Linked DNA regions of Rhinolophus ferrumequinum. The protein of the gene in region 1 binds, or shares a complex with, the protein of each later gene. Links are inferred from orthologs where the notes say so. Each region holds a gene or a part of one and is shown on either strand. Other genes may lie near its edges.

Evidence for each region.
Region 2: EIF4A3 (region 1) and MAGOHB share a complex: the UniProt entries of both Homo sapiens proteins name them as parts of the mRNA splicing-dependent exon junction complex. The link is inferred for Rhinolophus ferrumequinum from reciprocal best matches to the Homo sapiens genes EIF4A3 and MAGOHB.

What each region holds. Positions count from the first base shown.
Region 1 is NC_046304.1:53,512,275-53,528,225, reverse strand, and holds the start of EIF4A3 (eukaryotic initiation factor 4A-III), read left to right. Parts: upstream 1-9,291; 5' UTR 9,292-9,327; coding exon 9,328-9,496; intron 9,497-11,994; coding exon 11,995-12,067; intron 12,068-13,063; coding exon 13,064-13,130; intron 13,131-13,539; coding exon 13,540-13,602; intron 13,603-14,215; coding exon 14,216-14,348; intron 14,349-14,576; coding exon 14,577-14,657; intron 14,658-15,706; coding exon 15,707-15,848; intron 15,849-15,951. UniProt on the Homo sapiens protein: ATP-dependent RNA helicase. Involved in pre-mRNA splicing as component of the spliceosome. Core component of the splicing-dependent multiprotein exon junction complex (EJC) deposited at splice junctions on mRNAs.
Region 2 is NC_046293.1:26,237,487-26,253,232, reverse strand, and holds MAGOHB (protein mago nashi homolog 2), read left to right. Parts: upstream 1-7,683; 5' UTR 7,684-7,757; coding exon 7,758-7,851; intron 7,852-10,111; coding exon 10,112-10,170; intron 10,171-10,850; coding exon 10,851-10,961; intron 10,962-12,891; coding exon 12,892-12,974; intron 12,975-13,491; coding exon 13,492-13,591; 3' UTR 13,592-13,852; downstream 13,853-15,746. Other genes in the region: tyrosine-protein kinase STYK1, read left to right, coding at 2,661-2,865. UniProt on the Homo sapiens protein: Required for pre-mRNA splicing as component of the spliceosome. Plays a redundant role with MAGOH in the exon junction complex and in the nonsense-mediated decay (NMD) pathway.

The DNA.
Region 1 (15,951 bases):
GTCAGTGTTTGGACGACCCATCCAGTAACCCAGCAACCAGAGGCAGCACCCAGGGTCCACATCGGAGGGATCAGGGACAATCGGTGGGAAGCAGGGCTGGGGAAAGGGCGCTGCCACAGAAAGACGCTGCGTGCATGTGGCGTGGGTCGGTACCCGTCATCTCTAGCAGCCCCAGGACACTCGTGCTGACACACTTGGGAAATGTGCTAGGACAATGACACGTTGTAAGAGCATATAGATCGATGCGAAACTAAAACAAACCACTCTTTCGGGTAGGTAGTAATGGCCACGGACCCCTGGCTGGTGGGGGGTGGGTTTCAATGGCCCGGTCTCCGAGGGCTGAGCTGCAGCGGGCCCGGGGCTCTGGTCTGTGTGGATAAAGCCCAGAAGCAGCTCATCATCAAAGGCCTGGAATGTCGTCTCTCCGAGGGGCGTGCTGACTAGTCTAGAATCCAAGCCCTTCTGGTGGGAGGACCTCCGAGGGCTCCTGCCCAGCCCCCCACCCCGGGGCATGCCCCGGGGGCCCTGCTTTGTAACAGTCACCTCCACAGCTTTGTTCCTGTCACATTCGTCTCCACTCCCAGCACAATCCTGGTACAATCGTTAGCCTATCAATCCATCCAAATAACTCTACAATGGTTTTAAACGTGGACTGTTTCAAGCATCTATATATATATATTTTAAAAAGTCCCGCCAATGGTGTAACAAACACACATGCACCCAGGACGCAGACTCGCCCCATCTTAACACTCTGGGCTCGAGGCTCCCGTGTAAGGAAACGCATCCGCAGAGACGGCTCCAGCCTGGGCTGTCATCAGTCCTCTCCTCGCGCCAACCAAACAACGTGGCCACAAACAGCACACAGCACTTGGCAGGACCCTGGATGCTGACAGCATCTCCCCTCCAGGAGCATCTCTACTGCCAAGTGTAGCACCGCACTCGCCAGGTGTTTGGGGGGCTGCAGAAACCTTGTTTAACTGCCCACTGGACTCACTGACATGAATGAAGCACAGGTGCTTTGCTGACGCGCCGGTGGTGGGCAGCAGGTTGTCTCTACTTTTCCTCCATCACACGCGTGATGGCCTGCGCATCTCCTCGGGCACAGCTGGGAGTGTTTCTCTCAGACCCCAAATTTCCTGTCATTTGCTTCTTTTCATTTGGGAAGACAAATGGACTGACAGGAGTCGAACTAAACTAAGTGTTAGTGTACACTAAACACGCTTGAAAACCAGAGCAAATCAACCCTTGTAGACAGCAAAATGGGAAACGGTCGCTGGTGGGTCCTTCCCTGTGGACAGCCCCCGCCCCCAGTCCACCAGGGGCCCGGTCCACAGCAAGGACTCACAGAGATATTCACATCCGGCTGTGCAGGGACTTCTCGCAGTGGGATGGGACCTGGTGTCCCCTCCCGGTCAGGTGTGGCCACCGCTCTGGTCTCTGTAGGCGGCCGGGAGGACTGGGTCAGAGCAGGAAGAGCCTGCCAAACCAGTGCTGATGTGAACTGACAGCTCTTTCACGCCATGTGACTTGTTCCAAAACTCAGACTTCAGGCACCAAAGACTAGTGCAAGGGAATAAAACAAAGGTAAACTCAGATCCAGGAAACAGCTGGGCAGACCTCTGACACGTGTGGTTTGCTCAGTAAATTAGAGAAACTTGAGAAACTCAGTAAATTAGAGAAATTAGAGAAAATGAGGGTACAGACTGAGGGACTGCTAGAGAGATAGGTACACTAACATGATTTTTCAGAAATAAGATCACGTCCTACATGATTTAAAAGTAAAATTTTAATTTTATTTAAATTTAAAGTTATGTTAAAAAGAATCACGGAATTGCTGAATGCAGTATAAATGTTTCTCAACTGTAAGAACTATTACTTCCTTAGAAATCCCCGTTCAGATTAAGATAAGAGATTATGAAGCGCACGACAAGTCAGACGTGTGAAATTGACAAGCCTCACGTGAGATAGCAGCCCTGTCTCCTGGCCATGACATACAAGGTAGCCCACTGCCTGCAGTCCCTGCTACCTGTTGGGGTGCCCAGCTGTGACACGTTGGTGACTATTGCACCTGCCAACTCTCCTTGGTATCCTGAGGTTCAGAGCCCAGTTTCCTTCTGGAAACCTGCTTCCTAGGGCTGAGCCCATCGGTCCCTTCCTGTCCTAGCGTGCTATTCACAAATGACACAGTTTGGTGACCGTGTATCACAGACAAGGCGGCATGTGCACAGAGGCCCAGCCCCTCACGCTGTGGTGGGGACAACAGCAGAGGTGTCACCTCTGGCTTTTCCCTCAGTCCCACCAGGAGACGCCAGTCTTAAAGTATACAGGGCCTGGGTCAATCTAGTTGTGGAGGGTGCAGCTCAGCTCCAAGTCCAGTCCCCATTTTCAATCTTTAGTTGCAGGGGGCTCAGCCCACAATCCCATGCAGGAATCGAACCGGCAACCTTGTTGTTAAGAGCTCATGCTCTAACCAACTGAGCCACCCGGCCATCCCTGGGACAGGATTTCTTAACCTTCCACTTCATAAAGGAGAGTACAGCATCTTTATAAACCTTTATATTCCCCCCCAAATTTCTCACAAAACATCCACTTAAATATGCATCAAGCCTCAGCCTAGAAGTTCAAAAACAGATGGGAAATACACTGACCCTGGACTGTGACCCCAACTTCCTTTGATAGGGGTCCATGGCTCTGAATCTGCTTGGGTCCAAGGAGTCAGTAACCATAAAACTCAGGCTCACAAAATACTAATTCCATGTTTCCCCAAAAATCAGACCTAGCTGGACCATCAGCTCTAATGCGTCTTTTGGAGCAAAAATTAATATAAGACCCGGTCTTATTTTAATATAATACTGAGTCTTATATAATACTGGGTCTTATATTAATTTCTTCTCCAAAAGATGCACTAGAGCTGATGGTCTGGCTAGGTTTTATTTTTGGGGAAACACAGTTTTTGTTTTTAGCAAATTACACCTGGCTTGCTCTCTGGTATTATATTACACAGTTGCCAAGGGGCCACGTGGCCAGCTCCAGGTACTCAGATCGGTGAGCAGGCCCAGTGATCAGGACCGGCAGGGAACTGAGTCCCACAGGCCTGCAGGAACTTCGGGTGCCTTCCCAAGGCCGGTCCAGGGGTGACAGCCTGCTCTGGGAGGGTCTTCTGGTCCGACAGCCCCCCCCACTTGCCTCCCATGGGAGGTCTGACAGCATTTGGCTTTTCTCAGACCCCCCCATCAATCAAAGTGAACTCAGAAAGTCAGGGCCAGCTCAAGATAGAAGTTGTTCCAGGACTTTCTAAATGCCAACCAACTGTTGCTCCTGGATCCTGGGACCCCCAAAGCCATATTGGGGTTTGGGTATAAGTGAGTGTGGCCCAGGAGCAGCCACTCTAGCCCATTCTTCCTGCAGTGAAGCAGCTTGCAATGGACCCCGAAGGGCAATACAAAATGTGGGGGTTTCTTTTCAAAAACTCAGCCCCAATTTAAACAGGGGTGAGTCCCAACAGTAAAGCAAATTTAGCCCACAGACCCCTAAGGACGCTCTTCCTCTACAGCCATTCTAGGGGTGCCTAAGGTCAGAAGAGGCCTGAGCACCTAGATGGGGTCCTCGGGTTGGGTCCCTCCCACGCCAGCACTGGCCACACCTTAAGGCTCAGTGTTATTGCCTTCGAAGTGGGCGAAGGAGAAAATACGTGTACATGCACTCGTCCGCACGGGACTCCACAGAGGAAGGAATGCGTTAGAGGAAGCTTAGGGGAATTGATGATTCATAAATACGATGGGAGAGGCAGAAGGGCACCAAGCACCAAAGGAAGAAGCCCTCCCTCGCACCCCTGGCTCAAATCCACACCAAAGTGCCACTTTATGTCTGGCTGTGCCCTTGCCACCAAGAGCAGGCAGCTGGTCGCACTCACTTCGTACCTGAACTTAGAAACCCTCCTTCCCCTTTCTTTCGCCCTGGGGCAACAATGCTGAGATCAGAGTACAAAACAGTGCATTCCTTCATCCATCACGGCCCCAACTGTCTTACATGAAGGTGGGACTCAGCAGCCGATGTCCATGCAACTGAACCCAGCAAAACCTTCACAAACCAGGCCCCACCTTTGATGAGGAGGAAGCCGCCCCTAGCACCCCCCACCCCCCAAGGACAGCTCTCAGCCGCCATCCATCCGGGCCTGCCCACCCTCCCCTGCTGTGCTGACCTGCTCTCCTCGGCAGGGACTCCATGCGCTGACTGTCCTCGTGCTCCAGGAGGATGACTGACTGTGTCACACTCTTGGTTGAGAAGCAGAGAGCAAGCAGGTTTGACAGGCGTGTCTGCCGGGCCCTGCCCATGGAAGTGATGCCCTACACGGGGCCTCCGCGCATCCCTGAGGCCCCAGGACACTCCCACAGCAGGACTGCCATGTGCAGAGTTCGTTTTGCCATTGTGAGAGCCATGGGAAGCTTCTGGAAATGACTGCAGAAGGTGGTGATTGACAGGATGGGGGACGATCCTCCTTCCTTTGTGAACAGTCAGCCGGTTCATCATAACCCCTCAGGGAAAGTGCTGGGGAGACTGGGATGAATCCTGGAGACTTTCTTTGGTTCTCATGATCAAGTACGGGAAGTATCTTACAATTCCAATGGATGCACCTGAAATCAGCATTTGATGACTACTATTTAGATTCAGATGACAGTCTTGGTTCTTCGACTGCGTTTCCCCAAAAATCAGACCTAGCCAGACCATCATCAGCTCTAATACATCTTTTAAAGCAAAAATTAATATAAGACCTGGTATTATTATATTATATTATACTATATTATATTACATAAGACCCGGTTTTATAGTAAAATAACACCGGGTCTTGTATCAAGTTTTGCTCCAAAAGACGCATTAGAGCTGATGGTGCAGCTTGGTCTGATTTTCGGGGAAACACGGTAGGCTAATACATGTCCAGAATCGGATCGCTGCTTGACACCTGCATGGCTGTGCCCTGATCACCACCTACCTGTACCCCTGCAATGATCTCCTAGCTGCTTCCTCCCTTGCCCCCAAAGCTAGTTCTCAACACAGCAGGCAGAGCAATCCTCTTAAAGGGGGAGTCCGGTCACGTCTTTCCCTTTGATCTAGAAGCCCCCAAGTCCTCACCATGACCCAGACACAAAGCCCTGCTTATCTTGTACTTGATGACCTAATTCCCGTTCAACATGCCACACACAGGGGCCTCCTTGCTAGTCTGTGAATGCTCCGTGCACACTCCTACCCCAGGGCCTTTGCACCTGCAGTTCGCTCTGCCTGGAATGCTTTTTCCCTCACCTCCTTCAGGACTCCACTCAAGGGCCACCTTCCAGAGAGGGCTTTCCAGACCACTCTATCTAAAATCATAGACTTCCCACCCTGGCCGTCCCTCCACCTTGCCCTGATTTTTCTGTATTGGACCCATTGCTCCCTGACATATTACATATCCTAGTTCCTTGTTTGCTTCTTGCCCTCCTCCCCACTATGAGCCTGTGACCTCCAGAGGACAAGAATTCTTGTCCTTCGTATAGCAGAGCCAGGCCATCTTTTACACTGATTATCAGAACGCGTTCCTGTCCCCGCAAAGAACGCACCCTGAAGTGGCTACTGTGGCAACTACGGTGCCTTTAGCCTCCATCTCCTTGTCTGTAAGACCTTTCCTGATCTGTCCCTGTTCCCCTCCTCCCACTCCCCACCTCGCCTGCATTCATGATGCCACAACCACCCTGGCCTTGTCCTTTGACGTGCCAATACCCTACCCCTCCGGGGAGTCGTTGCACTCCGTCCCTTCTCCCTAGAACCCCGCCTCCCCCACCTCGTGTTTCGGTGGCCACCTCCTCTCACAATTCATATGGCACCTTTCTCCAGCCACCTGGTAAGTCAGCAACCTCCTAACTCCCTTCCACTTTGCCTCGTTTCGTTTGCAGCAGACTGGCTATAAAACCTGCAATTATCTTCCTGTTTTGCATGTTTTGTTGGGCTTGCCCTGTTCTGGAACACAGGTTCTGTGAGGGCAGCACTGTCTGTCCTTTCTCCACCCAGTCTAGCATCTCAGGGGTGCTGTGTGCACATCTGCTGCCCTGATACTGGACGCCAGCAGTGCGGGGTCAGCAGTCCAGTCCGGCGGGTTCAGGCGGAGCTTCGTCGGCTGCCCGCCTGGTGGGTGGGTTAGAGAGGGCAGCACCTAGAAAGAGTCTGCCATTGAGTACCAGGTAGTAGGTGGGGTTCCTGGCAGGAAGGTGCTGTTTGGGGACAGCCCCTTGGATCCAGGATGTCAATTCCCGTGGTGATGACTCATGGAAATCCAGCTCAGCCCAGCCCTACAGCACCCACCGAAACCTCGAAACCTCGTCCCGCCCCTGGACGAGGCCCACCCCTTTCACTGACTGCACTCGGGAGTCCAGCCTGGGCCAGGGAAAGAGGCAGATCGGAGGCGCAGCCCAGCGTCATCCGTCTTCCCCAACACGCTGGCGTGAACTCAGGCCCCCTCCAGTGTCCCTCCTGTCCTCTTGCCCCGGACATGCAGGCACACTTACTGTGTGCTACAGCAGTGATGGGGAACAAAACAGACATGGGCCTTCCCTGATATTGGTCTAATCAGGTGAGATAATACCTGGCCCCAAATATAAAGGGTGTGGGAGGTGAAGCGCAGGAGACAGAGTCTATCTGGGGGGAGAGGTCATCCCCCGGATTAGACTGACCCCAAGAGGACAAAGACGAAGTACGCTTTGTTCCCTATTGCTCCAAGAGCACCGTCCACCAAGAGACTGACTTGACACCCCCCCACCACACAGCTTCTGTCATTTTCATGGACTCTGGCCTGGAAAGCTAGAAGGTTATTGGTCCCAAACCTAAGGAAGAGACCCTTTAGAGGTGTATTCAGACACAACAAAGGGGACTTTGCCAGGAAAACAGCATAAAATACCATAAAAGTGTGAAGGCAAAAAATAAGTGTAGGTGGATCCCGAAAAAGATAAAAATTCCAAAGTGCAGAAGAGGCCATCATCCTCTCGGCACCAGAAGAGCGCAATCATTTCTTCCCCTCCTCTCCGAAGCCAGTGTTGTGTGAAGCCAGTGTCGTGCGGGGCGGCCTGCAGGGTCTCCCTCCCGCTCCCCACACAAGAATGCAGGATATGGTGAGGCCAAAAAGGAACACCCACGAAATTAATCTGGGGAACGTAATTTGGTGGTTACCAGAGGGTAAGGGGGTTGGGGGGTGGGGGATGAGGGTGAGGGGGATCAAATCTATGGTGATGGAAGGGGAGCTGACTCTGGGTGGTGAACACACAGTGTGATTTATGGATGATGTGATACAGAATTGCACACCTGAAATCTATGTAATTTTACTAACAATTGTCACCCCCATAAATTTAAAAAATAAAATTAAAAAAAAAAAAAGGAACACCCACGGAGCCATCGGTAGGGGAGTCACACCACTATACTCTTGCTGGCGGCTGGGTTGGAGACACAGGAACCAGGAGCCACACAATTCTCAATCCTCACTGCGCCGCTTGCAGACTCAGCCACCCTCTTCTTGCTAGCCCCCACTTGCTAGCCACAGCAGTTATATTAGTGGCCAATGGCTCACTGGTTACAGCTGACGGCCAACTAGCCACAGCTGATGGCCATTTGATCACAGTCGACGGCCATTTACTACCTGAGCCAGCACCTTTACTATGTGAGGCCGAGCGAGAGCCTGGAAACTGCTTTTTAGGGCTCTGTCCCCACAGCCAGAATTCCTCAAGTCAGTAACCTCCAATTCCCTAGTCCCCCCCACACTCCTGGTGCTTATTTTACATGCGTTAAGTACTTAGGGCAGCAAGACCAATCAGAATCTCATATAGAATTAAAATGTTTCTCGTTGCTACACTGTAATAGTAAAAAGAAACAGGTGAAGTGAATTTAAGTAAGTCAGTACATCTAAAATGTCATTTCAACATAATCAACGTAAACATTAGGCATGAGCTGGGACGTCTTTGGAATCTGTGCGCATTTGACAAACAGCCCTAGACAAGCACGCAGCTGGCAAAACCAGAGTGTGCGCAACCCCCGAGAAGGCACCGGATGGATGATCCCTCGTGGAGTGAGAAGACCTAAGAACTTCTATTTAAAGTCTAAGAAAGAAACTCGGCTTTATAAGTACTTCATATTTGATTAATACCGGCATCCTTCTTAGGTACGTTTAGCAGGTCAATTAGCTCTAAGGACTGGACTTACTCTGACGTCAGGGTGAGGGCTTGGCCGAGAAGCCCTCACTCCTTTGCTGGCAACCTGTGCAACCCAGTGCCCGCTGCGCTGCCGGGTGTAGCGGGTGACCCGAGCGTCCAGCGTTAACTAAACTCGCCTTCCCCACGGGCCGGAGTTCCGGCAGTCCCGGGCAGAGGCCCCGGGTGAGGGCGCGCCGGGTGACGCGAGCCAAGGAGTCAACGAGAAAGGACCGAGCTGGCGGCGTGCGGGAGTCACGTTCACAGAGGGAAAGACACACAGTGTTCGTACCCCGGGGGGGACACAGGCCAGGCGGGGAGGCCGGCTCTGCAGCCGGAAGTGGAGGGTCAGGTGGCACCACCGGCAGAGGCACAACTAGTTCACGTCCTCCAGGGCAGCACAAGGCCGTGGTCTCCGGGGGTAGGAATTTACGGAGGTCGGGGCTGCAGCGTCAAACGCGGGCGCGTCCCCACGGTCACGCAGCCGGTGCTGGGTCCCGGTGCGGGGACGCCGCCCGCCCGCAGCTCACACAGCCAAGTCAGCTCTCACAGGCCGATCGTGGCCTCCCGCGACGCGTCCTCCGCGGCCCAGCACACGGGACCTCAGCCATGAGCACTAACCCATCTCCCACGTTGTGCCCGCGCCCTCCGGCCCCGGCCAGCGCCAACGTCGGAATAAGCGTTTAAACGGGGGGACGTGCGCACTGGGGGGCCCTCGCCCCGGGTGCCACTTGAGGCAGGGCCGCCTGGGGCTCCATTCGGAACAGGGGCGCCCGGGCTCGGCCCGCGCGGAGGACACGGCCGCGGGGCCGCCGCCGCCTCAGCACCAAAGCATCTTCCTCCGAACTCCCGAGGCCCCACCCACCGTGAGATCCCGCGGGAGCTGACTTGGCGCGAGAGCATCAGGAACTCCGCCCCTTTTCCTGGGGCGAGCAACCCTTCCGCGTCGCGGGACGAGGGGCTCCGCGTCCCTGCTGAGGCGCGGCCCTGACGCACGCTCGCACGCACGCTCTACGCAAGCCGCGCGCCTGCGCGGTGACGTCAGTTCCTGTCGGCGGCGGCCTCGGGCCCTGTTTCCGCTGTGCGCTGCCGCGCGCGCTCCGCTCTCAGCCGACCCGGGATCATGGCGGCCTCAGCCACGATGGCCACCTCGGGCTCGGCGCGGAAGCGGCTGCTCAAAGAGGAAGACATGACCAAAGTGGAGTTCGAGACCAGCGAGGAGGTGGACGTGACCCCCACGTTCGACACCATGGGCCTGAGGGAGGATCTGCTGCGCGGCATCTACGCCTACGGTGAGTGGGCGCAGGCCCGGGGCGCGGGCGGGAGCGCGGGGGGCGAGGCGGGGGCCGCGGGGCGCGGGCGGGGGGGGCCGGCGCCGGACGCCGCGGGTCGGAGCTGAGGCCCGGCGTGGAGCGAGGCCTGGGGCCGCTGCTGGGCGCCCTCCGCCCCCAGCACGCCGTCCCCACGCCGCGTCCGTGGGCTCGGTGTGGGGTCCTCGCGGCAGAGCCCCGCGCTGGTTCCTCAAGAACTGCGAAGTCTTCCGGGCGTTTCCGAGTCGTTCATTCAGCCGGTACGGTCTCGCGCCGGCAGGTGTTAGGGCCGAGCGCGGCTCCGGGTACCGGCGTTAGCGGTGAGCCGGGCGCCTTCGTGCCCCGGGGAGCTTACGTCGTCTGCGGGAAGGACGGCACGTAGCCCAGGTCGCTTCGGGGAGTGATAACGGCTGTGAAGACAAGAAAGCGGGATACCTGGAGTGTGACTTGGGGGGAGCGGGGGTTGAAATAGAGCCGGTAGACGAGGGGGCTCCCAGGAGGAGTCGACGGTGAGCTGAGAGCTGGAGCAGGGAGCCCGTTACGAGAAGACGGGGGTGGAATTGGGCCGCGGGAGCAGCCGATGCCGGGGCCCCGCGTTCCCTGAGCGGGGTGCAGTCCAGGAACAGAAAGAAGCCTGCTGTCCTGGGAGCCCAGGGATGATGAGCTGGGAGAGGGGACCAGGGCCAGCTTTTGAAAAGCGTCACGTTAGGTGATAAAACGTTTGAGTTTGATTTGTAAGAGCAGTGGGCAGCCATTGGAGGATGGAAGCCAGGAGGTGAGGCCGTCAGAGTTACTTACAGATGTTATCCGGGTGTCTGGATTTGAGGGGAGGTAGGGCAGGAGAGGGGCAGGGGGACGAGTTAGGAAGCTTTTGCTCCTGGCCAGGGCAGAGGTGATGGTGAGCACCCCCCGGAGACGGGTGCTACGAGGCTCCCTGAGGGGCCGAGTCCGAGCAGCAGAGGAAAGGGGGCATGCGATTCCTGTGTTGAGCCGGTGGTGGTAGACACACCAGAGGAATGATTCGCGGGAGACCAAGAGTGGTCTGTTAGAGTTTATTTGGCTGTTTGAGCTGCAGGAGGTCAGGCTGGTGGAGCCAGCAGAGGGAGAAGATCATAACCCCCCGAGCAAAGGGGGATGGAGTTTTATAGGAGGGTGAACGAGGCTGTGCCCCCGTCAGTGACAGGGTTTCAGGGCTCCACGCCCCGGCCCCAGGTCACACACCGCCCGGGTGCACTGATCACAGCCCCCCAGGAGATAAAGCAACACAGGATCAAGACATGATGGCTTTGAAGATGCGGTTTCTGCTACTGGCCTAAATATGGCTTAATGGCTTAACAGGCGGGTGGTGCTGCCATTTGCTTAGGTGGGGAGCGCCCGAGGGAGGCAAAATCAGGGGCTCTGTCTAGGACATGGTGAACTTGAGGGGCCTGCAAGCCATCCCGCTGGAGATGCCGGGGAGGCAGGTGTCTAAGTGGGGAGCCCTGAAAGAGGTGGGGTCGGGGGTGCCGATGGGAGTGGTCTGCATCTGCCTCACACCTGGGACTGGGCCATCTTTTACCCAACAGCCCTTGACATCACCGCGGTGTAGACAGAGCAGAGCAGGTGCTGAGAGGATGGCAGGGGAAGTTGCAGTCAGGCTTTGGAGTGAGGCTGACAGCCCTGCCGTCAAACGCGGTTTTTAGTTTCCCGTCCATGTGCTTGGTCATCATGAGGGGTTTAAATCACCTATTGTAGTTGCTTTAGTGTTAGATGGGAAATTGTACTACATTTTAAAGTACTACCAAACTAGTTAAAATACAGTTTGGTACATGCGGTTTTGTTTACTTGGACAATATTTCTGTTCCTTCTGAGTGGGCTCCTCCCTCGGTCACTTACCCTGCTGTGCGAGAGGGATGGGTGGTGGTGGTGCCTTTCCTGTCGCCCCCGCGTCACGACAGGGAGGAACCGGGCGCTGACCACCCCACAGGGCCGCCTGAACAGTAGCTTATGTGCAGTTGCAGACGAAGCAAACAACCTGCAGACGTAATGCTGACACGAAAGAGTGGTGGTTACAGCATTAATGAATTGATTTTCCTTGTTTTAATTCAAAAGTAATGTAAAAAAGAAAAGCAACGCAGGTGATTGTAAGGTAGTCAGACAGCACAGAAGTAATTACATAGGCTAAAATGTGGGCCTCCCCCACCCTTTCTCCAGGAGTACCACCACCACCATTTTGTGTGTTTTCAACCCAACTAGGAGTCGTTATACTCTGCAAGGGTGTTCCTTGTAAAATAAGGGCCCGCGTCAGTCAGTATAAAAGGCCACTTCTGCCCAATTTCAGCAGCTGTTTCTTGAGCGCTTGGTATGTTGGACATGGGGTTAGGAGGGGTGGGGTGGGGGTTAAAAGAAGATGCCATCTCTGTCCCAAGGAGCTTACAGTATATGGGTGTAAAGATGTGGGGCTAGAGGTTCGAGCTAATTTGTTCTGGTTTTCTTTACAGGATTTGAAAAGCCATCGGCAATCCAGCAGCGAGCTATCAAGCAGATCATTAAAGGGAGAGACGTCATCGCACAGTAAGTCTGCTCGCACGGAGGGGTCACATGCTCTGGTAAAGCCAGCTCAGGTGACCCTGGAACAACACGGCTGTGAGCTGTGTAGTGCCACTTACACGCGATTGTATTCAGTAAATACGCTGAAGGTATTATTCTCTCCCTTACGGTTTATTGGTAACATTTTCTTTTTTCCAGCTACTTTATTGTAAGAATATAGTAGATAACGTAAGGAACGCAGTTGCTTACATTATGGGTAAGGCTGCCGGTCAGCAGTATCCTATTATAGTTCAGTTTTGGGGGCGTCCAAAGCTATATGTGGATTTTGGTCTGGGAGGGAGCTTGACCTCCCCAAACACTGCTGTACCAGGGTCAGCTGTGCACTTAAATGCTTCGGGGTGACCGGTTTTCTGTTTTTATAGATTCGTTAGCAACCCTTTCCATGACTTGAGCCACACGGTGTTTTGTTCTTTTGTTTTTATTTTTGTGTTTGCTATTCTAGAAAGTTAGTTTCCTTTTTTTTTTTTTTTTGTCAGCTTTGCTTACCTACCAGTGGGCATGTGGCATTGTATACAATACTCTTAATAGCTTTGTTCCCAATTTGTGTAGTTTTTAAAGACTCATTTACCAAAAAAAAAAAAAAGAAGAAGAAGAAGAGAGAGAAATTGGAGGATGGTTTTGGTCCTGAATGATATTTACAGGAAGGGAAGCTCTCTTTTTCTGCCACCTGGAGCACTTGCTGGCGGTCCAGATTTTGCAGCTCCGTCACCCTGATGCAAAAACCACAGCCACTGTCCTTGTCCCCTGTGATTTAAAAGTGGTGACACCATGCTGAGTCCCACCCCCTGGCAGTTAGGATCACAGTTAAGATGTTGGTCTGTTTGGGGGTTGGGGGCAACTGCTTGGAGGAAGCCGTCCAGTGCTCCCACCCCTCGGAACACTCTGGCGGCGTTGTGTGAATGGGGACAGTGGCATGTGGCCCTCGGTTGTAAGTCCCACTCGTCTGTGTTTTCCTAACAGGTCTCAGTCTGGCACCGGTAAGACTGCCACCTTCAGTATTTCCGTCCTCCAGTGTTTGGACATTCAGGTGATTTCCGCTCTGTCTATGCTTGGGAAAGACTTCCTTTTCCCCTGTCACTGCAGTGTTCAAGAAGTACAGTTTTTATATGTCTCTGGTTGTACTGACTCAGCGCCTTTTTTAGGAGAAAATTGCACACTAATATTTGAGCTTACTAACACGTTACCATAAATTACTATTTGTTTAAACTGGGCAATTTTTTAAACGTGGAAATTCTTGTCTGCAAACTAGAATGCTGACCAGTCTGCCCCTTTATGGCTGGATATGTGGTTTCCGGAACAGTAACTTTCAATTAGCTCTGTTGGAAGTCAGCGGTGTGGTTAACATGTGATAAGTTGAAAACAGATTTGAGTCTGAAGTAGCATCGTCTACCTTGAAAATACTGAGGAGTCTCTTTTCTGACGAATTATTTTACCAGGTTCGTGAAACCCAGGCTTTGATCTTGGCCCCAACGAGAGAGTTGGCTGTGCAGATTCAGAAGGTGAGACAGTCCCAGGGGGCAGTGTCGTGTGTGCGGGAGCTGCTCTCGAGCCCAGTCCCAAAGGGCCGGCTGAGGGACTTCATTGAATGCTGGTTTTCTATGCCCTCACTTTGTTTTCCCTGACTCCTAACAGTTTGCCATAAATCATTATATGTTACATGAGTCGCTGTTTTGTATGAAGTCATTTTTAGTGTAGCTTACATGATTCCAATAGTTTTTTGCAGTCTTAGAATTGTAGTGTTTTTTCCAACAACAAAAAAATGCATTTTAATAAAAATAATGGTAACTATGTTATACGTATTGTAAACATTTAGGAAGGATATACGTTAATACTGAGGGTGGACAGGAGTATGAGTTTTGCATAGGTATTTTCTGTTATCATGTATCGCTTTTGGATGATAGGGAACCAGTAAAACTGCCTTCATCTCACTCGGTGCAGAGAAGACTATGTAGCAAGAGGAGAACTGGGCTCCTTAGGTGTAAATAGTGGCCTCCGTGCTTGCTGGAATCTTACTGGAATAGCAGTGACCTTCCTTTTCGGGAAATGCAGATGTTTCTGACCTCCCAGTGGCCTAGACGCAGGCCATGGCCGTGACCCTGTGTTTTAATCCAGGGCCTGCTCGCGCTGGGTGACTACATGAACGTCCAGTGTCACGCCTGCATCGGGGGCACCAACGTGGGGGAGGACATCAGGAAACTGGACTACGGGCAGCACGTCGTGGCCGGCACGCCTGGCCGCGTCTTCGGTGAGTGCTTCGTCTGTGCCAGAGGTGCTGCAAGCGGTAGTATCTGTGAGAAGTGCTCAGGCGGTCAGGTCGTCTCGGTGTCATCCGCTCATGGCGGCTTCTGCTCGCCGTCACGCGTGTATAGGACCTGGAGGGAAGGGCTCTGAAATGCTGCGCAAACCCGATGAAGTGGCTAGTTCTTTCCTCGTAGCCTGATGTCTCTCATTATTTCCAACTCGAATTTTGTAGACATGATCCGTCGCAGAAGTTTGAGGACACGTGCTATCAAGATGTTGGTTTTGGATGAGGCTGATGAAATGTTGAATAAAGGTATGAGGAACGAGAGAACTAATTTTCTACCAACAAATAATTCTTTGTAAAATTGAAACGTGGAGATAATGAAAGTGTTCTTAGCATACTGTGTTTCCCTGAAAATAAGACCCATAAGACCAGGTCTTATATTAATTTTTGCTCCCAAAGACGCATTAGAGCTGATGGTCCGGCTAGGTCTTATTTTCGCGGAAACACAGTAAGTAGTTTTTTCTTTGTGGAAAACAGTTTTGCCTTGGGGGCCATAGGAACATAGAGCCCATGCTGTGGTCGTTTTATGGTTGGGCTTTGTACGGTAGCATTTCAACCCGCACAGATAGGACACCACTCTTCGTGTGCGGTGGTTGGTGCAGGTGACACAGGCGAGCAGCTGAGGTGCGTGTGGGTGGCTGAGGGGGTGTAAGTGGTATGCCAGCGGGCTGTGTTTGTGGCAGCAGGGCGTTCTGTTGTACAGATGACGCCTCGTTTGTGTAACCTGTCATTCTTTTGGTTATCTGGGCTCTTGTTCAGCCTGCACCATATTAAATCACGTAAATGAGTTGCCTATTTAACTGGCAGCTTTTTTATTGAGGTGTAATTGACATGTAACATTGTTAGTTTCAGGTGTACAACATAGTGTTTTGGTTTTTGTGGGAGACTTTGGGTTTTTTTTTAATTGGGAGTTTTTTTGGTAAAAATCCAGGTCTCTGGATTCTCTTAAAACGCGGCAGATCAGGCCACAGGGGACGCAAATCCTCACAGGGCAGCAGCAGCTGGCACTGAGTCAAGGCCACGTGCAGGCACCCAAGTGTGGGTGACTCAGGGCTCAGGTGTCTTGCTTGTAACTGTTGGCATCCAGGACTCTTGGGGTGGGGACCCCCAGAGCCCACGGGGCAGGCAGAGGAGCAGAAGAAATCTGTGGGATTGGTCGGCGGTGTGGAAAAGGTTCCTTGGGAGGAGCTGTCACTTCACAGGCATAAGTCCGCATCTCACCAGATGTGAGCGTGGGACGCTCCTTCCCTCCCGCGTGCACACCTAACCAGCTCCCCGGGTCTTGCCCCTCACCCCAGGTTTCAAAGAGCAGATTTATGACGTGTACAGGTACCTGCCCCCAGCCACGCAGGTGGTGCTCATCAGCGCCACGCTGCCCCACGAAATCCTGGAGATGACCAACAAGTTCATGACCGACCCTATCCGCATCCTGGTGAAACGGTAGGGATCGAGACAAGCCGTGCTGGGGTTTCACAGAGGGAAAAGTCTAATTTTCTTGTGTGGGGAGCCGGCCTCAGACCCAGTAATTCCAGATTTCAAAATC
Region 2 (15,746 bases), on another chromosome or scaffold:
ATATTTTTTTCAACTATAATTTAGTATATTCAGTATTATTCCGCTTCAAGTGTTCACTGCAGTGGTCAGGCATCTACACCATCCACGAAATGGTCTCCCTAATAAGACAAGTGCTCATCGGATACCCTACAAAAATCTTTACATTATTGATTCTATTCCCCAAACTGTCTTTCCTATCCCTGTGGCCATCTTGTGGTTACCGATTGTGCTTTCTAATCCCCTCACCTTCTCCCTCATCCCTACCCTCCTCCCATCTAGCAACCCTCAGTTTTTCCTCTGTATCTCTGAGACTGTTTCTGATCAGTTTGTTCATTTCTTCTATTCTTTAGATTCTACATATACGTGAGATCATATGGTATTTGTCTTTCTCCGTCTGACTTATTGCACTTAGCATAATGTTCTCATCTATATCGTTGCAAATGATAAGATTTCATTCTTCTTTATGGAGTACTACTCGGCCATAAAGAAGAATGAAATCCAAGTATTTTTTGCTGCCTATGAATCATGCCCTTTTCAAAGTGACTCAGTTGATCCCTAGCTGTCCTTTCTGTGCTAATGTGCATCCCTAGACCAAACCTACACAGTAAAACACATCTGCTCATACATCATATATATACATATTGCATATGTATATGTGTGTGTATACACACATACACACACACACCATGTTGAGGCAACTATATTATGAATCTAAATTTGATAGTTTAGTTCCTCCAGAAGTTTCTAAAATAGGTAAGAAGTAGACCAAATCCAATGCAGGTACAGAGTATTTTATTCGTTGAAATGTCAGTCTCAGTCAGAGACCGCCAGCCTCAGTTCTAATATAATTGCCATAAAATCCACTGCACTAGGTTACTTACTGGCTCTTATTTAATATTTAACTTTTAAAAATTATCTATTTTTCCAGCTATAAGCACATTAGAAACCAACCAGAGGGGCGGTAGGAAGAAATTAGAAAGGCAGGAGAAGGAGAATCCAATATTGTCAGCAGAAAGGGACAGCTGGTGAACCAATACAGAGCAAAAAAATGGAAAAATTTAAAGTTGTGCACAGAATTTTATAACCAATAAAATACAAAAAGGGATGGTTATAGGACATAAGAAAAGGTTTAGATTATTTATAAATGTATATATTAATATACATTTTCATTAAAATTGTAAATTTTGCAAATTTTTCAGCATCAAAAGGGTAAATTTCCAGTACCTGGGTTTCCCTATAATAAACATTTACTATATCAAGCAGATTACAAATGTTAACTATCGTAACTATAAATACACACACATACACACACACACACACAAACACACACAATATAGTGATACTGGCTGGGTATACCAGAATGAAATTGTTGAAAAATGTTTCTTGCAAACTTTCTATGTGTAAAAGGCTGTCCTTGACACTGGGGGGAGACACTTAACTGATAAAATACCTAATCTTGAAGAAATTAACATTGGATAAGGAGATACCTGAAAAACATGAAAATCAACATAAAGTGTTAGGTAGTAAATAAAATGGTTAAAAGCTCAGATTCCTCTCATAGAGTCAAAAAGACACATGCTCAGTCCTAGTCCTGTTATTTTACTGCACATTGTTTACTTATCTTAAAATAGGTAAAATGATAATCCTACCTTTGTTATTGTGAGGCTAAAATGAAATAATGCATGTTGAGTTCCACTTCCATGCCTTATATAATAAGTTCTTGGTAAATGTTAGTAGTGTTAAAGTAGCATCTTTCACAAAGTCTTATGGTACAAGGTTAATGAGCGTGGGAAACATGGTGGGCTGAGGTTTATAAGGGAAGGTTTCATAGAGGAATTGAGATTTAAAACAAACCTAGGGAATGATGACGACAGAGAAGATTTCAAGGCTTTGGGCATAGCATGAGCAAAGGCAGAGCTGGGTGTTAATAGCACATGTAGGACATAGCAAGACACTGGGCTGGAGGAGAGGGCTTCAGTTAGGCCAGGCCTGAGTGGGAGACAGCTGGGGGTAGGATGTCGACATCATGTGGTAGGCGGTGGAAAACTGTTGGTTCTTGAGCAGGGTATCATCGTACATGATAAAAGTATTTGAAAACAGATAGCATTATACATTCTCTAAACTGGATTGAAGAAAAGATGGATTAAAGTATTTTTATCTAGATTAAGGCAATTTCCTGAAGAAGCTAAATTATAAAGGGGGGAAATGACCTCGATTAACGGAAGGGAACACCTAAAAATTAGTATGAATCATATTATTCCATAACTTCTTATTTTCCTGGCTATAATGTAGCTTCTACTGATACATAAATTGTAGCAATGGTCTGGAATGCTACAAGTTAGTAACATCTAAAGGTGAGAACACTTGACTTCTGAAAGAGCATTTGGCAATAGAATGGGGGAGGAAAAACCACAAACTGTTCTGTCATACTGATTGTACTCCGAGGAATCTTCAGTCATTACTATTATAAAAAGGGTGCTATTGAGAAGATGATTTTAAGAGACTAAGTATTAAGAGGACGAAATGAATATTAATCTCTGGGAAGAATATGAGAGACAGGACAATGAGAAGTAGATTAAAGAACTGTAGCGCTTTTTTGTTCAAGTTTGTTTAGGAGAGGAGACGTGTTTCTCATACACTTGCCTGGTCAGGGAAGTCAGTGTCTCTCATTTCCCTTGCAGGTATGGTCTTATGAAGTCCTGCTGGCGCTGGAGTGAGGACAGCCGCCCTTCCCTTAGAGAGCTATGCTCACGCCTAGAAACTGCTGCTCAAACTGCAGATGACAAGGCTGTGCTGCAGGTACCAGAGCTGGTGGTGCCTGAGCTGTATGCAGCTGTGGCAGGGATCAGCGTGGACAGCCTCTCCTACAGCCACAGCTTCCTTTGACAATCCCAGGGCAAGAAACATCCATGGGTGATCATATACTCTTGGAACCAATTTCTCCAAGAACAGAGGATGGACTTTCTAATGGGACGTAAAGAGAGAAAGAGGACATGGATCCTGGATTTCCCCCATACGTTTCCCTAGATATGTGAAGTGATGCTGGGTGAAACTCTACACGCTGCATACCCTTGAGGCTGAGAAATACAATTTCATTTCTGCTGTCCCAGTCTTGAAGACTCAGGGTAGAAGTGGTAGCCAGTGTCACTGCACAGGAGGTTTTAGAAATCTGTGATGTTTGCTGGGGCACAGTACAAATAAGCTGGTTGCTCCCACCACAGGCTAGTTTCCTCCTGAAGGATGCTTTTATCGAGGCTATTATAAGGTCCACAGAAATTAGTCAAATGAGGGACTAGAAAGCCAATAAAGAACTTGATGAGAGAAAATTAAAGGTCCTTCTATTTGCTCAGGAGTATAGATGTGGACTAAGGTCATCCTTCAAAGTGAAGGTGGAGAAAGGATGTCACATTCCTCAGTCCTGGCCCCTTCATGCAGGGCTGGAGGAGAACTGTGAAGGAAAACTTCTGAGTTTCCCCTGAGCGTAGGTAAGAGAAAGATAGCCCCCTTTTCCCTAATAGTAACACAGGTAAACCCTGGTGGTTTTACTTTTAACGAGAACCTGGAGGGATCATTTTATGATTAGGAACATTCAACATGTGTTCATCAGGCCAGCTTCCTGGTCCCTGTAAGACTAAGGAGACGGAGCCTGGAGAGTCAGGCTCATGATGAATATAATGTGTGTGTTTAACAAATAGGGAATGTGGAAATCAAGCAAGAATGCTTAGTAGGCCAGAAGGTCTTTAACAAGGGCTAGCAAAGGACATCACCTGAGACAGAAGGATGGTAGCTTCTGATTTTCAATCATCTGCTGATGTATTGTGAAACTTATTTCATTACGTTAATATTCACTGAGTGAAAGTGGGCTTTTCTAGTATACAGCTGCTAACATCTTGACAATAGGGAGGATAAAAGTAAATAAATGGAAGTTAACGTCAACAGAAAAATTCAAGAGGCAATCTACATTGGCAGAAAATGGATAAATGGGGATAATACTTACCTCACAGGGTTGTTGTGAGGACTGAATGAGAGTATGTATTTGTACAGTATCTGGCACATAATATGTACTCAATAAATGTTAGTTTCCTTTTTCCCTTCCTATCCTAGAATCTTTCATATCTTTTTTATTTAAAATCTGTGGCTGAGAAGCGAACCTAGGTTTGTCAGTCACATTGCAAGGCAGGGCCTGCCTAAGGATGATGGTGTGGTACAAGCACCACAGGACTAAAATGATGAAGTAATCATTTCTGTGTGAGCTTCTGGAGGATGGGAAGAGTCTCCTCCTATTTCAAAACACTGAAAATATCACGATGATGACAATTCAGCTGGACATGTGATCTGTGATTTTAAAGAATACTCACTCGGGGTACTCTGGGTGGGACATCTAAGGCTGTAGGAAAGATGACTGGCAGTTGAAAATTTCATAAAAGTTAGACTCCTGATGGAGTCATGATGAGTCATCCAACTAAATAATGATTCTTGTACCTGTAGGAATACCACAGTGAACTAGTCAGGATTTAAAGGGGTGGTAAGTAGCAGTAGAGAGAAGGAAGGTTGAGTGGCTTGGCACAAAATGATGAAGTCCTCTGGAATCTCATTGTTGTTTCTTGGCTGTTCATTTAAGTCAAATTTACAAAATATTTATTGATTTAAATATTTTTTAAAAAATTGAGTGGTAAGTTTAAGGACAACACTGTTATACGTTGTGCTAGGTGTTGGATAAAAGGAACGGAGAGCTTTTGATTACAGCCTAGAAAGTAAGAGACATTATACACTTATTTATGTGGGCATTTGTACATTACAAATTGAATAAACTGTAGTGGTGATACCAGTAAGCATGCCCTAAATTGAAGCCTACAACCACTGAGATTGAGATTTCTTAATGTTCGAAAAATGTTTTCACTATTTCCAGCCCAAGTAAAAGTGTATGAAACGTGTCTTATATAACTTCACTGTCCAACACCATAGCCAGGGGACACATTGCATTTAAATATTAATCTAAATTCACACAAATTAATATTTTAAAATAAAAAATTCAGTTCCTCAGCCTCACTAGACACATTTCAAGTGCTCAGTAGCCATTCACAACATTTCCATATTTCTGTTGTATAATATCCAAGACCACAAAACAGCTTATGTTTTATTACTTTGCAATCCTTATACTATGAGAGAGACACATTTTTGGCTTTTTTTTTTTTTTTTTGCTAAAGATATGAAGGATTAATATATTTTCGCAATTCATTTTAAAAACAGGATTAGAGAGGATTAGTCTTGACCGCAGAAGTCTTTTCAGGGCATAGAGACAGTAATTGGACCACAGAGAAAGATTTTAACACTGTGCATTCCATAAGCTCTATTTACAGTCACAGATCTGGTATCTGTAGCTCTGTTTAGGTAAACATGAATGCTAGCATATGTGTCAAAAATCTGAAAGAAATGCATTAGGGAATCTAACGAGATTGAATGAGGCTCCCTACAAAAAACAAACCAAATGGATTACTGCCTGTATTTTCATAGATACTGTGGTCAAATTTCTGTGGGTTATTCTTGTAATAGGTACAGTGACTGAGTCATCCCAGCTTACCTGGGGCTTCCCAGGTTTTAAAACTGAAAGTCCCACATCACACAAAACTCCTCAGTCCTGGGCAAACTGGAATGGTTAGTCGCCCTAGTGGTAAAGGATGGTGCTTTATGTTTCTTATATATTTTCCCTAATGGCAGCCTGTACAGTAGGAATTGAATAATTTTCCTATGTAAACACTGATGCAATGGTTAATACAAACTACTATATTGACAGTTACATAATCGTTAATATAGAGTCAACATAATCCGGGCCAATCTGCCTTTCTAGCTATTCCACTTTCATGAACTTCATGTTCTAACTATACTGAATTTCTTGGCCTTCCCAAATCATGCTGTCATGCGGGGTGTCAGGCGGGGTCTCTGGTCCCGCTCCCCACACAAGAACGCAGGACATGGCTAGGCCAAAAAGGAACACCCACGGAGCCATAGGTAGGGGAGTCATACCACTGTATTCTCGCTGGCGGCTGTGTTGGAGAAACAGGAAACAGGAGCAACACAATTCTCAACCCTCACTGCGCCGCTTGCAGACTCAGCCACCATCTTCTTGCTAGGCCCCCATTTTCTGCTAGCCTAGCCACGGCAGTTATATTAGTGCCCAATGGCTCACTGGTTACAGCTGACGGCCAACTAGCCACAGCTGATGGCCATTTGATCACAGTCGATGGCCATTTACTACCTGAGCCAGCACCTTTCTATGTGAGGCCGAGAGCCTGGAAACTGCTTTTTGGGGCTCTGTCCCCACACATGCATTTTCACACCACTGTGCCTTTGCTCAGGTTGTTTTCTTCCTGGAGTGCCTTTTCCATCCCTCTGAACATATAGTCAACTTATCCCACAAGGTCCAATTCAAATAGCACGTCTTGTCACACTAGGCTTCCCCGATACTTCCCTTTCTTCAGCTTCCTGTTCCCCAATAAAGTGACTTGCTTCCTCTGCTGTACTACCAGCATTAAAAAAAATTCTTTCTAACATTTGCTTCCTTGTGCTAATATGTCTATATGTTTATTTTCTAGACTGCAAATGCAAAGGCTCTATCTTTTTATTAACAGTGTCTAACCATTTCTGGCACATAGGAGTACCTGTTAAATCTCATTATTTAATGCTTTATACATTTTAAATCTATTTTACATGCATTATCTCATTTGGCCCTCTCAATTCTGTGTGCTTGGCAAAGTTGACTGTAGTATATTCATTTGGTTGATGGAAAAACAGACTTAGAGACAGTGACTTAACCAATGTTAGGTAGATGTAAGGGTTGGGAATGAATCCCAGGTCTTCTGTCTGCCATTCTTCCTACTAAACCCCACTGAAGGTCAAAAGTCATCAACAGGATTACTCTATGTGTTGGTAAAGGAAGGATGATCAATATTTGAAAAACAGACTTTGTGTGAAAGCTCACCTGGCCTTTGCCCATCCTTCTAAACCCTTTGGTAAGCATCCCTCCCCTCCCCAATTTATTCTATTTGGTAAGAAACGTGGGCTAAACCATTTGACCTTAAGTCACATTGCCAAAACTCCTCAGGCCACTAAAGATTAACCTTTCCTTAATGAAAGAAGTTTTACTATTAAAAGGAACTCTTTTATACCATGCCTGTCGGGATTTTCATTTTCAATGTGCCTTTCAAATTTTCAGACCTCTTGTCTGATGGATTCTACCTTGTCTCTATTATTCATAGGCATCAAGTAGCCGGACAGCTAGCACTGTCCAAAGGGGAAAGCCCCGAGTTAGGAATCTAGCAGGAGAAAAGGGTTTTATTCCAGATCTATCATTTCGATTCCGGGCTTTATCTGGACTCATCCCCCCAGTTAAAGGGGAGTGATGCCACGCCCACCTTTTCACAGGATGCCGCGAGAAATCGAGACCCGAAAACTAAACGCGCCTTGCAATTGCACCTTAGTTGTAAGCCGATAAAAAATGCTATCATATGTTCACACTTTTGTCCTTTGCTATTTACGATTTACTTAAGTTTGAAAATAACATGCCTCTGTCGCCAGTAAGCGAAGTTCGAGTCGTTGCGACCCTTACTCCGCTGGCTTCGGGCCTCCTGTAGGAGCTGCAGCCTCCCAGCCCTCCTCTGGGGAGTCCGGAGGCAGAAGGGGCGCGCCGCAGTGACGCATTTCTCCCGCGCGACTGACGTCACTGCTAGGCGCCCGGCGGCGAGTAGGCCAGGCCTTCGGCGGGCTTTCTGGAGACCAAGATGTCTCTGGCCAGCGATTTCTACCTGCGCTACTATGTAGGGCACAAGGGCAAGTTTGGACATGAGTTCCTGGAGTTCGAGTTTCGGCCGGACGGTGAGCGGAGGAGCGGCGGCGGCCGCCGCCTTGCAGCGCGGTGCTGGGCCTGGGGGAGCGGGGCGGAGAGGCCGCGGAGGAGGCGGGGTGGGGTGGGCGAGCCCCTGGGGTGGGCGTGCAAGTGTACAGTGAGGGCTGAGGCCACTGCTTGCGCCGAAGTAAATGGGAGCTTGAGAATACAAGAGGCATAAATTATTCACAAAAGAGGTGTTGTGAATAAACGAGAATTAATCGATGTAAATTAATTCCGAAAAGGTAATCCTGCCAGATACTACAGCTGAACCTACGGTAGTCAGGATCCTAGACTCAGCTCACCGGAAAGGACCGGAAAGGCCGTCTAACGTATCGACCTAATACTTGAACGTTTTAAAGAACATCCCCCAACGTGCGTTGATTTAATGGATGCTTAAAATCTTTTGGTGGCCAGTAACTTTTGGATTTACCCATTCATCCGTTTTATTCATTCAGGCATTGTATGTAAGGCAACATGTCTAGAAAAACGAATGAGGCGTCCTCTGAAGGGGAAGACCAACGTGTAGAAAAATGAGTGTAATGGTGTATCTTTATTGTGGGTGCTTCAATACAGTTGTTCTCTATAGTATGAATTAAAATTAAAAAAGGAGAGTGGTTATAACGTTCTACATGAAGGAGCGGGGAAAGCTTCCCAGAGAAGGTGACAGTTGAGACGATCTGGAAATAGATTATTTTCTTGGCCTCTGCAGGAAAAACAGCAGTGAGAGCAGCGTGAGCAGAGGGCGAAGTAAAACTGCCTGCTGCCCAGGAAGTGTACAGCAGATTCTATTTTTCCTCAGCTCTGATTCTCTAGAGAGTTTTATTGTATATTGAACTCTTTTTGCAACAAGCTCAGTCCGACTGCATAGACTTTTCTTTTCTGAATGCATGGTATGTGCTGGGCAGCATGTAAATACAAAAATTGAGGGTACGGTAGTGGTTAAGACTCTTTAATTTCCCACAAGGAGTTACATCTTGATGGGCAACACATACATGAAACTAACCATAAAGCAGTCTGGCTATTAAGTGCTGTGTTCGTGTTTTGGACAAAGTTCTGTGAGAACTTAGGGGAGAATCACATATTAGAAAAGGGGAAGAGTATCAGACATTTCAGGTCACTACAGACCTGCAATTATTTAGAAACCTTAATCACCTTTTTCTCTCCTGTTTTCCTCACGTCTGTTCTAAATTTAGCTAAGGAGCCAATTTACCTGAATTCTCCATCTGTTGTTTCCTTAGGTGATGTTTTTTCAGTGCTTTGGCCTGGGAATAGTTTTCAGCTTGTCCTTAGCCAGTCACATAAATTAAGTAGTCTAATGTTATCAGGGAAATTTCATGCCCAAACAGTGGTTCTCATCCATTTATCAGCTACCACACCATGCACATATTTCCATCAGTAATAGTGATTCCTAAGGCGTTCACCTCATTAGGTTAACCTATCATTTTAGAGGGTCAGGAGCACATTACATCTGTACCTGGGCAACTAATTAGCCATAAGGGGAAGTATGCATCAGGGAGTACAAAAGTCATAATGGATTAAAATTAAGTATAGATTAGCTAACAAACTGGCCAACTTTTATCCAGAAGCAGCAGATAGTTTGTGTGCTTCCTAACCACAATTCTGAAATACTACCATTGCCATATTATCATACGTGCATTAATTTGAAGGAAAATAATTACTCCAAATTTTGGAGTACTTGGAAGAAGGTATATCTAGAGCTGAATCTCGTGTTACCCTGGGCAAATTACTTAACTGTTTTCTCAATTATCAATAGGTGTGAGAATAAAACCCACTTTTTAAGGTTGTTTAACTGATTAGATTAAATGCTCTGGGCTAATCACTTGGTACCAACACAGACACAAACTTTAAAAGAAGAGTTTTTTCTCTTTTCAGATTCCCTGTCTAGTTTAGGACATAGCTTAAGAAAATGGGCCTTAAAAAATGGCCTTCCCATTATACTGAAGGTATAGAATATTTAAAAATTATATTGAATATTTAGAAATTATATCAAAGGCATGGAATGTTTAAAAATTTGACTAGCTTCAACTGTAGCCAACTTACCAGCAAATCTTTGTGTGCCTACATGTCTAGCATTAATCTTATGCTGAGAGGGAAGAATTATTAATAAAAGTAGTAGTATAGTATGGTCTTTATCTTCAAAATTGCTTACAGTGTCATTTCTTTATTATTATTATTTTTTTTAGCAGTTTTTGCTGTTATAGATTGAATTTTTTCCACTCCCCACAGGAAAGCTTAGATATGCCAACAACAGCAATTACAAAAATGATGTCATGATCAGAAAAGAGGTAAGATTTTTTTGAATGTCCAGTTTTTTACATTTGCCATTTTCCTTAAGTCTGTGTTGAATTTACAAAAATACATATAAGTCCGTATTGTAAAGAATCCAATTTATAGATTGAAAAGTGATTCAGTTTAAATTAGATCTAATCATAGCATCTGTAACAACAAAAGAAGCAATCTGAATATATTGTTATAGTCTCATATTTGAACATACCATTTAATTCACTTCATAATTAATTTGTCTTTTTACTCTATTCACTATTTAAAACAATGATCATGATTTAAACACAATATGAATTTTAAATGAAAGGCTCCAAAATTAGGGATAAAAGTTCAGATCACTGTGATGTGTTCTAGTATTTGTCTCTGTTCACCTCAAATTTTGTGTTGTCGCTATGAATCACTTGGAGATATTTGAGTTCCATGTTAACCAAGGCAGAATACAACGGTTTAAAAAGGGGCTAAGTGATGTGACGAGGGAACAATATATATTAAAAGAAAAGGGCAAGAGAGAAGAAAAATCCTAAGAAGGATGAATGATTCCCTCCCATCTTGTACTTTGGAATTAAGTTTTTCTGTGATATTCTATTTGAATATTTAGGATTTTTAACTCCATTTTATCATTTCCTTCTGACCTGTGGGAAGAAATAGGCATTATGAAATTTTTATTGTAACTTGTTTTCAGGCTTATGTACACAAGAGTGTAATGGAAGAACTGAAGAGAATTATTGATGACAGTGAAATTACCAAAGAAGATGATGCTTTGTGGCCTCCTCCTGATAGGGTTGGTCGACAGGTTCGTATTTAGGGATTCTTTAAATGCATAAATATTAAAAATTGATAATATAACTGTTATGTTTCTCCTTATTTAGAATAGATCCTCACTGATTCTTTAGTTTTTTATTTAGTAGATACCTAGTAAATACGCTTTAATTTTCTTTTACTTGGTCTCATTTTTTGTGCTGCTTCCTAGTAGTAAAGGAATCCATGTATAACTGTAAATTGAGACATCTTTCTGAACAGTCTTTGTGGCAGCCAGCCCAGGTTAGGATGTTTTCACACTGTTATGGATAATTTCTATTATATGTTAACCACTTTTATTAGAAATAAGTACAGGTGTCTGTGAAATTGGAGACAGGATTCTCATTGACCATGTAAAATTTACTTTCTCTAAATTTATAACTTTGAAAATTCTTATTTGTATCTTTCTGCCCCAGAGAGGGATTTGATTGGTTTCTTTGTTCAAACTGACCACTGCCTTTGCCTCTCATACTCCCTTCAGAGTAATTAATGTTTCTTAAAGGGCTTCTGAAGAGATCTGAAGGCCTAATTTCACTCTGTTGAAAGACAGTTTGATTTCTGAATTGGATCTTTTCAACTCTTGGAGAAATGCAATATGACCCTTGGAAGAAGAAACATAATTTCACTTTTGTATATTCCTGAGGATTATACGTTGTAACACCTTTGAGTAGAAGAAAATGTATGGAGAAATTTTAACAGATGTTGACACTCTGTAGCAATAACTTAACTCTATTTAAAGAAACATTTAGGAAAACAAAAGTAATAGTAAAGAGTATTTTATGCATTGTAAACAGTTTTAAAACACAAATTTTGATCTCAGTTTGTTTTATGCATATGTACATATGTTCTAAAAAACAGAAACAACAGCAATAAACTGTTTATCTCTTTTAAACTCAGGAAGCGCCCAGTATTTTCATCAATCCACTTGATGTGATCATGTGTTTTGGTATTGGGGAGGATTTGGCATGCTCCAGAAATTGTCTATTGGATCTTTAAGTCAAATATTTTATGATTATTTAAGAACCTTAGTTAATTATTTTGTGTGTGCCATAAACTGTGCATAATTAGGTCTTCTGATCAGTGATGTAGCTAAGACTGTCTTGAATGGCGTGCTATTTAACCTGAGAAATCACCACACACATAGCCTCTTAATTGTTGGTTTTAGATTTGCAGATAAAATACAGAGAAAAATTTGTACAATAGTTGTGGCACACTGGGGACATCTACATTATGTTGTATTTGTTTTACTAGTTCTTAATTTTAATGTTTTGTGAAGTCAAAGTGTATGAGTCTTTCAGTCTTACAGTCCAGGATTCAAATATTAGTACCCTCACTTATTGGTGGTTGTGAATATCAAGTTTTTTCCTATGCTTTCTGAGTCTTGGATTTCACAGTTGTAAAATACGCTTACCTCCCAAGCGTATTTCAGGGATTATAGATAATGTCTGTAAAGTCCGTAGCAGCAGAGCCTGACACATAGTGGGTACTAAAGTGGTGCTGTTATTCATATTATACATTTTATCTTTAGAGCCTGGTGAAAGGGTAAGTGTGTTTATATTTATTATATTAAAAAGACTTAGATCATATTATTTTTACAACACTGTGCTTCAGAGTGATGCCAATAGTTTTTACTGACATTACATGAAACATTTATTGTCACCCTGAAGTATGTCATTCATTTTATAGTATCTTTATGAGATCTCTGGAGAGGAGTTTTGGTTAGTCCTAATACTGGGGACTCTTGAATAGGTGATCAGGTTTTTATTTTATAGACATAGTTTATGTCTAACAGATCAAATGTCTTTTTTTCTTTTTCTTTGTTAGAAAAACTGCAGCTAAAATTGGGACTTCTCAGTAGCAAGAATACAGATATCTCTGGGATGAATTTTTATATTAACTACATCTCTCTATTTTATTTTTTTCAGGAGCTTGAAATTGTAATCGGAGATGAACACATTTCTTTTACGACGTCAAAAATAGGTTCTCTTATTGATGTCAATCAGTCAAAGTGAGTATGTTAAAGCATTTTCATTAAATTGATAACATTTATTAGAGAGGTTCATTTTAAGACTATATCCAGTTTGAGATCATTTCCATGATACCCTATCAGTTTATTATGCATATGAAATTCTGATTTTTATGTCATTAAAAACTTGTTATCGAAGAAGGTAGCAGTGTATTTTATTGATTTTCAAATAAAAAATCTTAATCTGACAGCTATATATAATAATGCCCAAGTTTTATTAGCTACTTTTTTTTGGGTAAAAATTTGGACACAGTGTCACAAAATTTAAAAGATATCCTTATTGGATATTAGCCTCATTAGTCCCATAGCACATCACATCGTTTTCCTCTTTGGGTGTAATACCCAAATAAATGAAAAAAAGAATCCAGTGTAGCTTAATAGCTTTAGCTACGTATGTCTTTAACTTAATTGTTTTAGGTTTTTGTTTTGTTTTATGAATTAATTTAAAATTACACTATTTCTAGGAACAAAAAGTAACTTTTACCTTTTTAAATTTTAGGGATCCTGAAGGCCTTCGAGTATTTTACTATTTGGTACAGGACCTGAAATGTTTAGTGTTTAGTCTTATTGGATTACATTTCAAGATTAAACCAATCTAAATTGTATGTTTTTTTAAGGTGTTTTTATATTTAATTAAGGGATGGGTAAGGGAGGGTTTGTTTGTCATTTACAGTATTGGGATTTTTATGAGTGTGAAGCAAACAAATTTTCTTTTTGTATGCAAACTGAAAATAAGAAAATACATAAACAGGCTTAATGGTTATCTTCACTTGTGTCCAAGTGGGTTGGACAGTCCCCACACACATTGAAATCTGTAAATAAAAGCCACCTTTCATTCCAATAAAACTTATCAAAGCCTGGATGGAGAGTGTTTTTTGTTTTGTTTTTTTCCCTCAGGAGGCTATGTCTCTTACTCACTTTAAAGTTAATAAAAAATTTATCGTAGGAACATGCTATAGTACACGTTCTTTCAGGTAGGAATATGTAGCCAGATTCCCTTCCGTTAAAGGCAATTGTAGATCTTCCCTTATTTCTTCCTTACCTGATGGGATTTAATTTTGTGGTGCTTATAGAGGTTGTTTACAGAAGGTTGTGGATTTTTACATTTATCATAAACTCAGGGATTATTTACATTTAAATATTTTTGGTATAAGCAGTGATTTCCTCAAGGGTAAAGCCAATCAATACCCCAAGTTAGGCATATCTTTTATTATGCCCTTTTTCACAAATATGTATTTTCTGTGTCTAGAAACTAAATGAGTTCTCAGCTTAAAAAAATTATTTAAAATTTAGATTTAAATGTGTGCGTGTGTGTGTTTGTGTATGTGTATCTATATATAGTAACTCGTAATGAGCACAGGTCCCACTCATATTTCTCAGTTTCTTTGAGCCTCTTTCTGATAGACTTGGCCTTGTATTATTTCTCCTGTCAGTAACCATGCCCTAGTATTCTGTTATTCCTCCATCTGAAACCTCCTTCCCCTCTTCCCCCTTAAAAGTGTGTAGTCCTGGTAGTCATAATCCACTTGCTCCAGGGACCAGTCAGGACTGACCTTAGGTTGAAAGAACTAGTCCCTGAAGTCTTGCCTGGACTCCTGAGCAGCTAGACTAGAGTGGCTTTGCCCAGTAAACTTTGAGTTAATAGAAATGTTCTGTATCCGTGCAGTCCAATAGCGTAGCCACGACCAACTACATGTGGCTACTGAGTACTTGAGATGTGGCTATGTGGCTAGTGTAACTGAATTTATAGTCCTATTAGAATTTTTTCCCCCAACTTTGTATTATGAAAAATTTCAAACATAGAAAACTGTTGAAAGAATTGTAAAACGAACATCCATATGCTAATGTAGATTCTATAATTGATATTTTTTTACTGTAATAAGTCTTACAATAAGGCATGTCTTGTTGATTTTTCACTTAAGGGTAGAATAACTGGTGTAATTGGTGCTAATAGACCAATTTTTTCCCTTAGTGCTATGTAATTTTGATTAGATAGTCACATGTGGCTTGTGGCTACCTTCTGGACAGTGTAGCTCTAGAGCATGGCTTGGTAGCCTGTTTGCCATGGAGTGCTGTCTGGTCCTTTACACTGCATGAAAATGCATGGCCGTCTTCTTCAGGGTTGCCAGGGAAAGTCACTGGGTCTCCATCGTGCAATACTGCACTGTCATCACCTTCAGGTCCCTTAGATGGAAATAAACATTTCTGTTCAAGTTGTAGGCCTTGATGGATGTGCAGTATAAAATCGTGTTACAATTCTTAGATGTTAATCTCAAGGAGAAAGGGAGAAATAATTGTTCTTTGAACCTCCTGTGGGCCCACAATTTTTGGTTGTTCCTCAAAATAATAGTTATTCTGTGACTCCTATTGAGGAAGCAAGGTTGGCGAGAAATAATCCTTAGATTAACAAATCTTTAGCATATTAACTCTTTGTCCTCATTCTCTAACTTCCCTTTAGTGCTGTTTTCCTTATGCCCTGTCCCCACTATCTACTAAACTTTTCATATTCAAATCAAGATTGGAGATTAGGTCATTAGGGTAAATATTTTATATTGTCTCTGATTTCCTTATACATTCTTTGGACTGGCTTTTACTTAATTGTAAGCTGCTGGTGGACAGTGATTAAAAATTAAATTTTGTGCAGCACTAGTTTTAGGACAAACTAGATTTTTATAGCACTCAGATGAGCAGATACATGTCACCACCCCCACATCTTGTATTAATCAAACATATTCCGAGTGTTGGTTCAACGCC